Linked DNA regions of Styela clava. The protein of the gene in region 2 purifies or fractionates together with the protein of the main gene of each other region. This does not show direct contact. Links are inferred from orthologs where the notes say so. Each region holds a gene or a part of one and is shown on either strand. Other genes may lie near its edges.

Region 1 (7,289 bases), on a different chromosome or scaffold from region 2:
TCACTGAAGACATAGAATACATCACGCAGATAGATTACTGAGCGTTCACACCCAATAACAAACACGTTTTATCAATAACTCACTGCAGAGAATAGTCATATGTTAGAATTGCGTTGAAAAAATAATTATGACTTCAATGAACAAAAAATGAGGAATTCACCTAGACCAGGGTGGTCCAGGATTGGCAGCTCCCCGGGCCACAAAATTACTTTTGCATTGTTCGCGGGCCACAATAGTGCCAAAAACTTTGCTCGTTTAACTTCGCTAGTTGCCCCAGCAAGCCATAACACTAGTCAATTTAGTGACATTAATGATGCAACAATATGTCAAAAGATTTTTTTAGTTAATTTTATGACGAAACAACACAAAATGCAATTTTTTGATTCGTCTCCTAATGCGATGTGGGCCACAGATAATGAAGTGGCGGGCCACATGTGAACCGCGGGCCTGGGTTTGGACCCCCCTGACCTAGACCATTGGCGGAAAGAAAAAAACAAGATGGTAGCGATTCGAAATTTAGCTTTGAACCGATTTGAATAATTTAATATTCGATTCGATTCGAATATTCGATTCGAAATGCCCAGCCCTAGTGATATGTTTAAAAAAGCTTGGGATAACATATGACAAGCAGTGAAAAACACAAGAAAATTTATATAAAAAAAAATAAACAATTCGAATTTACGCAAACGATCATTTGTTGGAACGTGAAAACATGATGGTAGATGAATTGACAAGGGCTTTGTGGAACTCCCATCCCCATCATTATCCACTCTTTTTTTTAGCGTAAAAGTAAAACGTAACATTTCGATATTGATTGTATCAGTTGTATATATATATACATTTTATTGTGGAGTGGAATGGAGTTTATTTTGAAATTATTAAGTAACTCTAACAGTAGGCTTTTTCAGAGAGAAGTACATTTTACATTTTGTCGAACGTGATTTTGTTGCATATTTTCAAGTCATGGCTGCAATATGTTTTCTCAGAAGTCTTCGGAAAATTCAACTTTTAAAAGCCGCTCGGGTTTCCGATTATCGAACTTAAAAACTTGTGAGCGAACACGTACTACTTCTTTTATCAATACCTTTTCATTTAAAATCTGTACGTTTCAAACCTTACTCTAGGTTTTGCTCGCTTTCCCGATTCTATAATCAGTTACTTTTACTTCTGTTTTTATCTATTTTTTTATCGTCTATTGCTGATTATGGAGCCGAAATAAACTTATACTTATACTATAACTATCTTGTGCAGTTTTGGTACACAGCGAGTCCAATTTAGCTGGATAATTTCCATGAAATCTGTTTCGTTTTTGGAGTTACAAGTCATCATTGAGCTGGGTTGCGCCTACAAACAGGGGTTTGTTCAATAAATTTGCCATCGCAGTATATTATGGCCGGTAGTTGGCGACATTTATTTATAAAATTTGTGACTTATAGAACAAAACTCATCGAATAGATTGTATTTATATCTAGAGCGCAGCCAGTCCAAATTTTTATTAGGGGGTCAACGAATTGATTCATTGTCTTGTTATAGGGCATTATATTCCCTCCATGGGCGTATGTACCGAGGAGATTGCACCCATGGACGGATACCTCGAGTGAATATAAGCAGCTTGTACTGATTTTTGCATTGAACCAGATTCTGATATATCACGATAAATGGTTCCATTACATTTGAACCCGTAATTTGAACCCACGACAATTGCACCTGCATACTATTGCACCTATGAATTTTTTTTATTTTACGGATATTTGAACTCATCCTAACTCATGGATTTTAGCACCCTCATTTGAAACCGCGGATATTCGGGTGTAAATGTATGGGTTCAAGTGTACGGTCACCCGATAAATATAAGGAGTTATTTTTATTTAGAATCGATATTGCCTATCCAATTAATTGCACCCTGGATGAGGTGGAGGCATGGGATTTCAGCCCGGAATGTGTTATCTTTGATGCTTACACAGTTAAAGGCAAGATATATATATTATACGTGGAATAGCTTGGAACACTAGGTTAGAGAGTTTCTATCACAGATACATGATCTGCGATATCACTCCCGAAAAAATGGAACGACACAAAAAGCTTAGTAGTGAGGGTAATTTAACAGCTGTGAACCCCCATATTTCGTTAGTAAAAATCCACTTCAAATTTATATTGAAAACATGAAGAAAATAATCAAGACATCAAGCTGAGTACATTTGGGGCCACCACCCATACAAATTTATTCGTGGCTAGTAATTATCTTTTTTTTTTTATCGTTGGTCCTTTCATGATGACGATGAACAGCGCCCAAATCCAAAGTAATCGATGATTGCAACCGTGTCTTGAATCAACATGATAAAGATGAAAATATACTTTATTGCAGTGGTTTCCTAACTGGGTGTAATTAAACCCATTCAATGGTGCTCAGAAGTATGTCGCACAACCTGAATTCTGACCGGTACACACATACTATGTTTAGGTTGTGCGCCATCTTGGTGCGCGTCCCATTTGAGAATACTTAGAGGATAATTTAGACGTTTACTGCCTTTACAATTTCTTTTGGAATCTTTGTCCCAGCTTTTTCGAAGCACATCCTGACATCCATCTTAAAACTGAATTGGAAAATGGAATAGGGGATAGTATCATGGTAAAAAATCGAATTTCTGACTTCATGACTATAATTAAATTGTAACATCGCTAGGATTCAAGTCTCAAAATCGACCTTGCAAGGAAAGACATTGGAAAGTTTCTTGGTTTGTGTTGATATTCAACGTGACAAATTGCGCGATATTAATTTTATTACATGCAGGGGATTTGCTGGAACCGCTGCATAATGTAAGTACTAGCAATTCGAAGTCCATTTTTCAAAATTTTGTCTGTTAGAAACGATCGGGAGGGGATTTCATGACACCCATTTTAGAAAAAAGAATGTTAGCACGAATATGTTAAGCCAAAGAGCGCCATTTTTAAAAGCCATGAATTTTTTCAAATCTGAAAAGGTATTTTGGTTGATAAATTGTCAAGATTCATTCATTGTCATCAGTGTTCGACGTACAAAATCTACTTTGAGATATCATAAAGAAAAACAGCATCAAATACGCACTTGTTGGATGACATTGAATATACGATTTTGCAATCAAATCGTGAACAATATATTTTGACTGAAAACTTATTCTGAATTTATCATTGTCAAATTTTCATAATCAGCGATCTTGGTACTTCAATTACTTTTCACATTTATTGGGTCTTTACCAATACAGAGTTAGTGATATTCTCTTGAATCAAACGCCACAGGAGAGAAATTTACGACAACGTAATCATTTTTAAAGAAATTGTACTTTATGAAGATGATTTGTACCTGAGATGTCAGTTACCGATTAAAATAAATCGTAACCGTTAACTATCTAAAATCGGTTAACCATTCCCAGCCCTAGCTCAGACAGACACAGATTTTCAGGCGTGCCTTCTCGCGGTTTTGCGTGTTATTGGACACGTTTTCAGTTTTGTTTCCAAAAAATTACTAGTGAATGAAGTATTTTAATTGTCTTCATGTCTTCCGATGAGCTTTAGTTTAAAATCAATGATCAAAAATTAGTTATGGAAAAGCTGCGATAAACTAGGCTAAAATGAGCTAAAATCAGTACCAGTAATCGGCACGTGGTTTCATATTTCAATAAAAATAATGATTTTGAGCATGTAAATCAGTTTGTCAGTTGCTAATCTCCAAAACACTCGCAAAATTTAGCAATAGTAAAGTACGGTAAAGTATAAGGAGCATTTTTCTGGGTCTAGGTCGGGGAAACATCTATTATATATTTTCATTCTATTTACATGAATTTTAATTTACTATCACGGAAGAATTTATCAAACTCAAATTGCGCCATATGTGATAAACTGCCATAATAACAATAGCTGCTATGCCTGTCGCAATTGGAAAACTTCTAATATATAGTCCATATTTCAGATGTATATTTTATGGACAAATATATCACTGAACTTTAATACGCGTTTAGAGTCCGGCCTTTTTCTCGCATATGGGCTTCTATTTGTTTCAAGTATATAACGGTTAAGTATTAACGGTATATACGGGCTCGGCTTTAAGTTTATGATAAACACAACCACAAAGATATATAAATATGTATAATCGTAAATATATACTACTACATTCCCAGTTCAGTGACTACAATTGATTGCTACAACGTCATCATGCGGCGTAGTTACGGTTGAGTTGATTTTACCGGCGGAAGTTCTTGTGACATCTAGTGGATTTACATCTAGCTGTAGGGTGTTAACGTTTGTGTTTCTTTGCTGAGTGAGGAAGTTTGCGAGGAAATTATCGGATTTATTGAAGGAACATGGATTCCGCAGGCCGAAAGGTCGTTGTTTGCGACAACGGAACTGGGGTGAGTTTCATTATTAATAGTTAACATTCCGTGACTTATAGCAATACTAGCTGACTAGCCTATGCCAAGTATGTTTGTTTGCTTGATCACTTTACTGCAGGCCTCAGTTTTGACTGTCTGATGCTGTGATGACCCTCGGATCACCCACTGCCTGACTCATTCAAACATCCATTCATTACCGTATATAGCCTATTACTTATTACCAATTTTTTAACATTCCCCTTCTGTAGGCTACTGTAATAAAACACATGTTATAGCCTACCTCTATAGTATTACAGTACGGCACATTCTATAAATCGATAACATTGTCTCATTTTGGAGAATCCCATTTTGTCGATGAAGAAACACCCCTCCTTTAGGAGACGTCTGGATATTGTTGTCCCTCAATATCGGCAAAAATACAGTAAAATGAAGTTGCGCAAAAAACTACAAAGAAGCGCAATCTAAAGACGTCATAATTGAATTGCTCAGGGGGAAAAAATGATTCGATTCACCAAAAGAAAATATTTGGTTTTCATGTAGTTTCGTACCTAACATACTTCAAGTGGGCGTAGCCTAACAAATTTTCCATGTGTCGATCCTAACCTCCACGTGACTACGCCGTCCAAAAATTACGTCATTACGACATCACAGTGACATAATAGAGCTTGAAACTATTCAAACTGTCATCCAAGACGCGCAGACAAGCACCTGAAATCAAACAGCTATTTCTCTTGTTTTTTTGTCGCAACAATCCCTATATAAGAAAGAGATCGCTGACGTTAGTCATTCATTTATCGTCAGCGCCGATGCAATTTCGTGCTATTGTACGTGTATTTGGCAAGCTCTATGATGTGATTGTGATGTCGTAATAACATAATTTTTGGAGGGCATAGTCAGGTGGGGGTTAGGGTTGACATGTCAAAAAATGTTATGCTACGCCTACTAGAAGTATGTAAGTAGAAGTACGAAACTACACGAGACCCAAAAATTTTCTATCGTGGCATTATAGAATTTTAAGCGAAAATCAACAATTTTGGTCACATGATGGCCACGATTAATTTAGATTATTATCAGGACAAGCATTGCGCTATATGACGCATCCGCCGTCGTGCAAGATGCCCCTAGTTTATGAGACACATGGTGTGTTTGTTAGAGCTCGACCGATATCACTTTTTGGCACCGATACCGATAACGATATATCGGCCAACTAGTGACCGATAACCGATATTGACATACCGATATCTAGAACTCGAACCCGCAGTAAATACAAATAGAAAGAAACATTCAGTTTCAGTCAATCAAAAGTTTATGTTGAAAAATAAAGCAGTCCTACACAGTGCTTGCATCATTAATAAAAGTTTCGCAGCAAATAATAAGAACACACATTAATGCACAAGAGAAAAAAGGCAGTCAGTAAAAAGCTTATAGAAGTCCATTTTGATCCATACAGTAGTAGGTGGGAGTAGGCTTGCACGTAATTTACGGAATTGTTTGGAGTTACGGAAGGGAAGTTACAATTACGTAAAGTCGTAATTATTGGTCGAGCGCTTTCGCGTTTGAAACGTGCTCCTTCCAAGCAGCCAATTCCGTCGATTGTAAAAAATCAAAGTTTAACAAGTAGAAGAAGTTAGAGTTCCGGTATTCGCAGCCGTTTTGAGCCGGCATGACGCGTTGCCACCCCGTTTGAGCGTTTGGTTTCACGGTCAAAACGATATTATTATAAGCGTTGTCACCGTAACGCAATTAGCACCGACAGACTTTTTTGTCTTCACGATTTGGTATCTTTTTTATTCGGCACTGATAATGATAAATAAGAATGTGTGATAGTTGATTGTAATTCCGGAAGGCGTATTTTTCTTTCTCTCCGTGAAACAGACATGAAACGAATTTTACCGCCGCTATAAGCGCTTAAAAGGAGAGGAGGCTAGGCTACTTTCTTTTCCCGACTCAATCACTTTTATAAATACAAATCACAGCGCATTAAAAAACAAAATAGAATTTATTAGCATTAATAAACAACAAGTTACGGGTAAGAATTTATCGCCGGCTAAATAATTATTATTTGATTTAAATTTATCGCAAATGATGTTATAACATTTAGGCCGCGAAATGATTTGATATAAAATGAAGCTTGGTAATCGGAATATCGTCAATAATTCAGCATCAATAATTATTATAAAATGCTAACTAGGTAGCAAAGTCGGATAATGTATAAAAACGGAGCAATAACAAGTCTTCGTCGCGAGGCAAGCGCAGGTATAATCAAATGAGAAAATACGCTTGTCGTTGATTAATAACTTAGAAACCCGAAATTTTTATTCAATACGAAAGTCGATTTTAAAAAAGGCAACTATCGTTTCATAAATATCCGTATACCATTATCGGTAATGATAAAATTGATCGCATAAAATTGGGACGGTTAATTTGCGAACGTGATAAAGGAAAATCAAAGCCAACACAATTAAACAAGATAAAGATCAGAATAAATTTAATTTGAATTCACTCCTTGGTATTTGTCTTTAACATCTGTCGCCGGCGTGTAGTACTGTCGGTAATTTGAAAACCAAACTTCGATGTCCCATTCGGAAAAGAAGTGGATTCGAATGGTTTTTATGATAGGTTTAAACGTGTGAAAAAAATATCGCAATTACGGGGTCATTACGTAATCAATTTTTCCGTAATTGATTTTTGTCGATTACGTGCAAGCCTAGTGGGGACGCAAGATATTCGAAGGCGAGGATTTTGCGCCGCACGAAGAGAGAAATATAGAAGAGAACTCTCTGTTCATTGAAAGGCAAAATGAGAGAAGCGTAAAAAAGGAAAACGCTCGGCCGCAGATATTTCCCGGGGAAAAATACTCATTTTTTAGAACGTGGAAAAGCGACTAACGCTGATATATATCGGCCAGATATATCGGCCGGT
Region 2 (7,533 bases):
AAATTAATCAATAAATCAAACATCAACAATAACACAATAATATTTGAAAATTTCATATAATTGAGTCAATTTATTTGAAAGCGTCTTCGTTAAATCAAATTAAATAACTCTGATCATTATGAATATGAAATGATATTCTGTTGCAGTAAAACGTTATTTTTTATGAAGTTAGGTAAATCAGAATATAAATTATATGAGCAAAATTCTAAAATGAATTAATAAGCTGGGACTTCATTCAATTTATTTTCAAATATAAACAATTTTTTTAATAGAACTTTGAAATAAATGAATATAAATGACTTTGATAGAAAACCCAACGGATGTTGTGCATTAAATGAGCAATCAAGTAAACATGCAAAAAATTAGGTATTTTATACCTTTTTGAGACTCATGCTTGTTCATCTTCTCTTTGTATTCGAAAGTTTCAGCACTCTGGAATCGTATAAATAGAAAGAATATGATATTTCTCCCAATTTACATAAATGTTTGTTTGTATAAAAAAATTACAAATTAATTAGGATAATGAGAAATGTATACAACATAGTTGTTTTTTAATCCAGGGTTGGGTATGGGACTAATTACCCAGTAATTCATTCAAGATGTAAGAGGTTGGACCTGGTTGGCTGAAGTTAATGCGTCTTATGATCCAGCTGATAAAGAGGTTTCAAAAATTGCATGTGTTGCCTTTAATGCAAAATTCAGTACCTTATCCATCCTGTCTTTTTGTACACCAAATTTACCACCAAAACCTTTAGCTGCGTCTGTTTGAGATTCGTGAGCTGCGAGTTTGGCTTTATAACTGAAGTCAACAGCAGACTAAATATAATATATACATTTTAAGATTAAAAAAATATAATGGAAACAATCAAAAAATTGAGAGAAACGAAATGACAATTTCTGAATCCCATACATGTGCATGGCTTTTATAATATAATTAACATAATAGCAATACTAACTTTGTCAACTCTGTCTTTCTGTACACCAAATTTCCCGCCAAATCCTTTTGCTGCATCAACTTGGGATGTATGAGCTGCAAGCTTTGCCTGATATGTGTTATCAACAGCAGATTTATCCATTCGGTCTTTCTGAACACCAAACTTTCCTCCGTACCTGAATAACAGAATCATGAATAGATAGGGGTGACTATTCTATATCGAGAAAGGATACTTATTAGCAGAATATCTTTTGTTTTTGAACCAAATAAACTAACATAAAAAAAAAATTCTTTAAAATACAATTATGGTATGACTTTGAACTCAATATTATACTCATTTGTTTATTTCTGGGGGCATTCCATAAAAGTGGTTGTAACTATATAGCTATATCATGTGTTAATTGTACCAAACTTCCCACTCAGGAAGTTCGCTTTAGGTAAGACACATGGATCAGTGAAACATGGTGACTATTCTATTGATTTGTGAACTAGATTACACAAACTCTATAAACAGAAATTTTTATTGAAAATGTTAATCCTCCACACTTTAGACTTTAGAGCATTTACAATATCACACAAAAACCAAGGAAGGCTAAGGTTTAAGGCTAAAGATTTACATATTTATCTCGGGAAAGAGGAAAGCCATATGTCGAACCACAGCCTCTCGTCCGGTTACCAGTTTATGTCGAGTATGGGGTTAGTAAGCCAGTTATTTGTTCCAGATGCATTGACTTTATTGTGGAGTAAATTTAAAATGCACGATGCACGAGTCGGTGAATTAGAGAATGATGTAACTACCCCCACTTTTGTGCATAACAGAATAGAATGTCATAAATTACTCACCCATATGATGCTTTTGGTCCTGTTTTTGCTTCTTCTTGCTTCGCTTTTTCATCATCTTTTTGCACATCTTTACGAAGTCCACTTACACTAAAACGAAATAGAAAATGAACAATTATAACAAAAATGAGTAAGCAATGCTTGAAAAGCGTACTATGTCCAATTATAGTTTCAAAAGGCACTTTTGATATGCCTTCTGATAGATTTAAAGTGCAGCTGGAAAGACACACTCTCAATTAGAGAAATGATGAGAGTAGCTGTACAATAACTTTGATCAAGCGTTCAGTACAGAGAATAAATGATAGAATTCTAAAATAGTGCTTTCTGTAACTCTGATATTAACATTTCCATCCACTTCATATTACATTTAGCTGAAACCGATACCTTATGTGTCCAACTCTTCCTGAACCTTCGATAGTTTTTGATCCCCATCTTTGTTCTGTTTCAGAAACTTCATTCTATAGATAAATAAATGAACTTTATTTAAAACAAAACCATCTACTACCAGATTCTTTATACAATTTTTTCATGTCTTGGGGAGCTGATTTTGATATCGTTACCCAGCATATACCTAATAACCTTGAGAATGTAGTATATTTTTATTATTGTTGCGGCGCTCGTTTGCTGGTTGACCAAATAATAAATCTCTTTCCTCAGTCTGGGTAAGGCTCTGAATAAAACAGTTGTCAAATAAGCAGTATATGGTATGTATTAAGTAAATATTGACATTATGCTAGTCATAGTAATTTTCCAAATTCTGTTCATTTATTATGTTAATTATTAGGTACTCCCGAAGTATGGGAACCAAGATGGCAGATACCGGAGCATAGTATGTGTACCAGGTTAGGCCATAATTTTACTTCAATTTTCCTTATTATAGTTCTATTACGAGTTCGGGGACTTGCCAAGTGACTCCCGTAGTATTTGTGCCTGAAATTATGGCCTAAGCCTAACCTGGTACACATACTACGTTATGGTGTCCGCTATCTTGGTTCACATACTTCAGGAGTACCAATCATTATGTGATTAATACTTCACCACAAAATCAGGATCAGTTTCCCATTCATCATCATCATCATTTCCAACTGTTGGGTTTTTGATATCAACATTATTTCCTACTGTGGATCTCCACATGTTTTCGATTAATAGTGGCTTTTTCAATATTTAATCAATTCTCTTAGATTTTTAAAACTATTCATTAAAAATTGAATACAAAAGTAATTTAGAACATTTTTAATGAAAAAAATGAGGAACATTGAAACTTTGTATAAAGCAGCATGTCAACAATTTCCAGTCTACCATACAAAATACAGTGAAAATAATCAAAAAGCTTTCAACATGGAAATCCTAATGGCTAAAAAATAGTATTTCTTTACCGGTACTTCATTTTCACGATGCTTATTGAAATATTTTACTGTTGAGTAACTTAAGATAATGATTTGTCTTAGGTACAATGGATACCGAAGAATGTTCACCAAAATTCGATAACAATTTGTCATCATCAAATATAGCTGAGCAGCAGAAATTATAATATCCCTACTTCAATTCAAATTTATGGTAAATATGAAAAAAATTATAAAGAATGTAACATTGAAACCTTGATCGTTACCATTAGTTTATTATTAAATGAAAATAGAGAAAACATACAATCATTGCTAATCTGCTTTAACATTCATGTCAAATGCAGCTTTAGATTGATAGCAAACAAACGAGTATCTGAAAACTTTGCAAAATAATATCTTTGTGAAGATTAAGCAAAATCGTGAGCACTTATATTAAACATAGGAAAGTACATGTTGGCAGTTGATGGCATTGCGAGACAGCAACAAAGCGGTAGGAAATAGCAAAAATGCTCATTCTGTTAAAAATACACTTTACATTCAAATCATAATTTCTATAATATCTCCTATTTTTTACTCGATGGAGAAAAAAAACTTGAAATGCTTTTCATTCCCTTTTTGTTTACTTTATTCAAGTCTCTTTGTGCTTTTGACACTTTTGCCTTTTTATTTTTAGCTTCTCCATGACTTTCTTTCTCGTTTTTGATTTTTTTTGCAGTGAGCTGATTCCCGTGCTCCATAGAATGTCGCTTTTCTGCACGTTTTCTTATATTTAAATGTTTCTGTAGAAGACTCGCAATATCTTCATTAAGATAGCTTTCAACAAATCGAAAAGCATATTCTAGTTGAATTTCATCTTCATTTTCTTTATCATCACAATTATCCGCTATAAAAATACCAGAAGAAGTGACAGCATTTACTGTATTTTTGACTTTTTTACTCAGCCATTCCAATGTTTTTTCCTGGCTGTATTTGAATCCTACAAAATCACCAGTTCCAGAGACTTCTGCAACATTTTCCATTTGTGATTTTGATAATATCTTAACAAATTTGTTACAATCTGAATATTTTTCATCTTTTAAAATCTGATCTAAAATTACATATTTTTCTGCCTGACCACTGTTATTCAAATAAGGAAGAACAATATAAAGTGGGTCAATTATTGTTGCAACGAATAAAGAACCATCCTGCTGAACTTTGGCATCAACAAACCAGGATCCATACTTATCTCTGTGTGAATTTATTTCATACAACTGCTTCAGTTTGTCATTAAACAGGAATTTTGAAGGCTCTCCTGTACATGGATGTTTCAAGGTAAGCACAGACAGCGATGTTGAATCTACATTTAGATTCTCAGACTTGATCCCTCCTTCCAGCTTATTCATCACACAATCTTTCGGCAACATATATATCCATTCATTGCTACAGTCTTCATTTGTACCCATTTTTAAGATATAATCTACAAGTTTGCTAGAACTGTAGAACGTGACAATTCAAGATTGCAGAAATAAATTCAAGGTAAAAGTCAGTGGAATGATTGTGTTTACTGTACAAATCTAAAAATGCATACCAGTATGTCTGTATGTCAAATTATTGCTTTGGAACACATTCTTTATTTTTCTAAATCTAAAATTGGCCCAAATAAACCCTTGAGCAAGGGGACGACAAATGTCTCTTTGCAATTTTTATACACATTCTGACATTACACACAACCTTCATGTTTCCACTTTGGGATTGATTATATACAGATATAGACTATAATACTGTAATAATAATAACTTAAATCTCAAATTTCACATTCAAACATACAGCATTACCATTTTCCCGATAAGTTGGTTTGAAATAAGTTGTGTACAATACTGTACCCTATGTGGTTGCAATAACTGAATAACATAGACTAAATGCTGGAATGTTTTAGGTTTGTAGGCTATTACTTTTAAAATTAACGATTAACATTGTCTGATTGTTTTACTTTACGGTAGACTACTACAGTACCGGTAGCCTACTGGTTTTTTTCCATTCTGTTATATGTATTAAGGAAAGTAGACTAGGTATAGAAGTAGACACACAATTCCCTGGTGCTTGGTGTTTCAAATTCCTCTTCCAGTTTAGAGTTAAGACTTTCCAGCTTTTACTGATTTGTCAGTCGATTCTCGTTTCTGTCTACAGTACGGTATCTAAGTTCTACCATACAGTACTACAGCTTCTAGAAAACTGTTTATACTATCGATAAATCAGAAGTTGGCTTCGCATAGAATGAGACCAGTTTTCTTCGAAATTCGTAAAAAGAATATCATGTACGACAACGGTACAGCGCCCAAACTTGGAGGAAATTGCAAAACACCGTCAGGCACAACAAGAGGCTCGCCCATGAGCGACAGTTTGATTGACATATGCATTCAACCGTGAATCTTTCCGGCTCGAGTTATACCATGGTTATCAGTCGTTGGTGGTTATGACTGCTTCTCATGTTCTTATTTTTTGACATCTCTTCCGACAGTTGACAAAATGGTTTTACAAAATGGTTTACTCGTTTCATAACCATCAATATAATTCCAAAGATTTAACGACACGTACTAACCGCTAATTTCAGTCTAGTCTGTTGCAGCCCCAGATATATACAGGGGGTCCGCTTCTCTCTCATTTCTGTGGTATCAATTGAAGGCTCTTTCGTTTTGACGATGGACTTCCAACTTTTTCATGGCGCGTAATGCAATTATTATGGTATTTGACAGAAATCGAATATTTGCGTCAATTTTTCTTGCATAGCCTATTCGCCTGATCTTGATTCGTTTCTTGCTGTTGGCTCGTATTAGTGGCGAGGCGGCGTGGCTCATCGTGCTAAGCGTTAGGAATTGGTTTCATGTAACCGGTGGTCGGTTACGGCCTCCCCAACCATACCGTGCTAATTCTAACTGTTTTTTTTTTTTTCAATTTGCGTTAGTCGTGGATGATAATATGTCCAACGTACCAGTCAAAAGCGAACATTAACGACCACAGAACATTACCCAATGTGGTTTATTGTAATCGCTTCCCCATTTACATGTATTTGGCTATATTTTATCGATAATTCCGTATTTTGCGAGGCGATCTCAATGTCATTGCGTGGCCTGGTTTTGTAGTAAGCTACCGAAGCCATACCTATAAATAGAACTAGAGCGCGCTTCTATTCTTTTTTTGCGGGATCAACTGAAGACTTTGGTGTAATCTCTCCAATGGAAGTCATTGCGTTTTTATGAGCGCAGTCAAAAACAATTGTTTCCACTTATATCTTTTGTGTAATCGCCCAAACAGCAAATTTTTTTCAACATCGAGATCCATTTCAGGCTCTAAATTCCTAACTGAAATATAATTGTATTTGCATATCCAGTAAGTATCACATGTAGGCTACAAGTGCAGATGGTCAGTCAAATACATTACCGTACTTTTTATGGGTTACAAATTGTTTCATGGCTAAGAACAAAATAATTACCACCCTTTAAATATGGAAACATTCCCCAAAACTGCAAATCTGCTTTTGTATGGTTTAAGCAGTTGATGAAAATGAAACCCCAAAATCAGGATGTTCAAAACGAATTGAATATTCAAACCTATTACAAGTTTATTATATTGGAAGTAGTAGATTCTCGATTTTAGGAAAACTTTAAAATATCTAAATTTGCAAATTGTCGATTTTTAGACCTAAATTTGGCATCAACCAGTAAGGGAAAAGCATGTATTTCAAATATGATGGAAGCAAAGATATACAGAATATTGTAATATTCCAAATAAAGTTGTTCACAGTTTAGAACTTTAGAATATATATATTGCATATCAGTGGTGGCGCGTGGTCATTTTGACAACCGGGGCAAGCTACTGCGGGACCAAGTCACCCCCATCTACGGGGACAGGATGAGCGCTGTAAGTTCTCCCATCATTTTATGAGTATAAAAACCATTCCATCGGTAACAACCAATCAGCAAAAGCGACAATTTTTAACGATAAGAAAGTGTCTTTAAAACCGGTCCAAGTCAAGGGATTAATAAATATAGACATAGTTTATTTTGAAACCTCTTTCAAAAGGAAAGGCAATATGGGTACAATGACATATTAACAGAAACTTCGGGAAAGCAGACAAAACCTAAAATAAGGTTTAAAACGTTACTATGAAGAAAGGAAAGTTAATGCAAAGATAAGGACATGCGTCGCTCACTCATAGATATATATGCTGCTAGACTTCTACTGCTTGAACATATATGCAACACGCCGCGGTTTCTTGGAAGCAAAATGCTCAATAACGCGCTGATTAAAGTCATGCATCCCAGAAATAACGTCTCTGTGAATGGATAAAACAGCCAAGGAATTTAATCTATCTTGCTTCATTGTGTTTCTGAGATACGTTTTAATACGTTTCAGCGTGCTGAATGTTCACTCTGCGTC

Evidence for each region. Proteins that work in one complex are often made in the same cells at the same time.
Region 1: the proteins of uncharacterized protein LOC120330719 (region 2) and actin-related protein 2 purify together in Homo sapiens (affinity purification with mass spectrometry; 3 studies listed by BioGRID and IntAct, with this or other methods). This does not show direct contact. The link is inferred for Styela clava from reciprocal best matches to the Homo sapiens genes CTTN and ACTR2.

The regions. Positions count from the first base shown.
Region 1 is NC_135251.1:20,269,855-20,277,143, reverse strand, and holds the start of actin-related protein 2, read left to right. Parts: upstream 1-4,225; 5' UTR 4,226-4,337; coding exon 4,338-4,385; intron 4,386-7,289. UniProt on the Homo sapiens protein: ATP-binding component of the Arp2/3 complex, a multiprotein complex that mediates actin polymerization upon stimulation by nucleation-promoting factor (NPF).
Region 2 is NC_135255.1:2,031,388-2,038,920, reverse strand, and holds the start of uncharacterized protein LOC120330719, read right to left. Parts: upstream 3,039-7,533; 5' UTR 2,909-3,038; coding exon 2,813-2,908; intron 2,233-2,812; coding exon 2,159-2,232; intron 1,865-2,158; coding exon 1,778-1,864; intron 1,111-1,777; coding exon 957-1,110; intron 817-956; coding exon 706-816; intron 433-705; coding exon 378-432; intron 1-377. Other genes in the region: ribonuclease H2 subunit B-like, read right to left, coding at 3,681-4,559.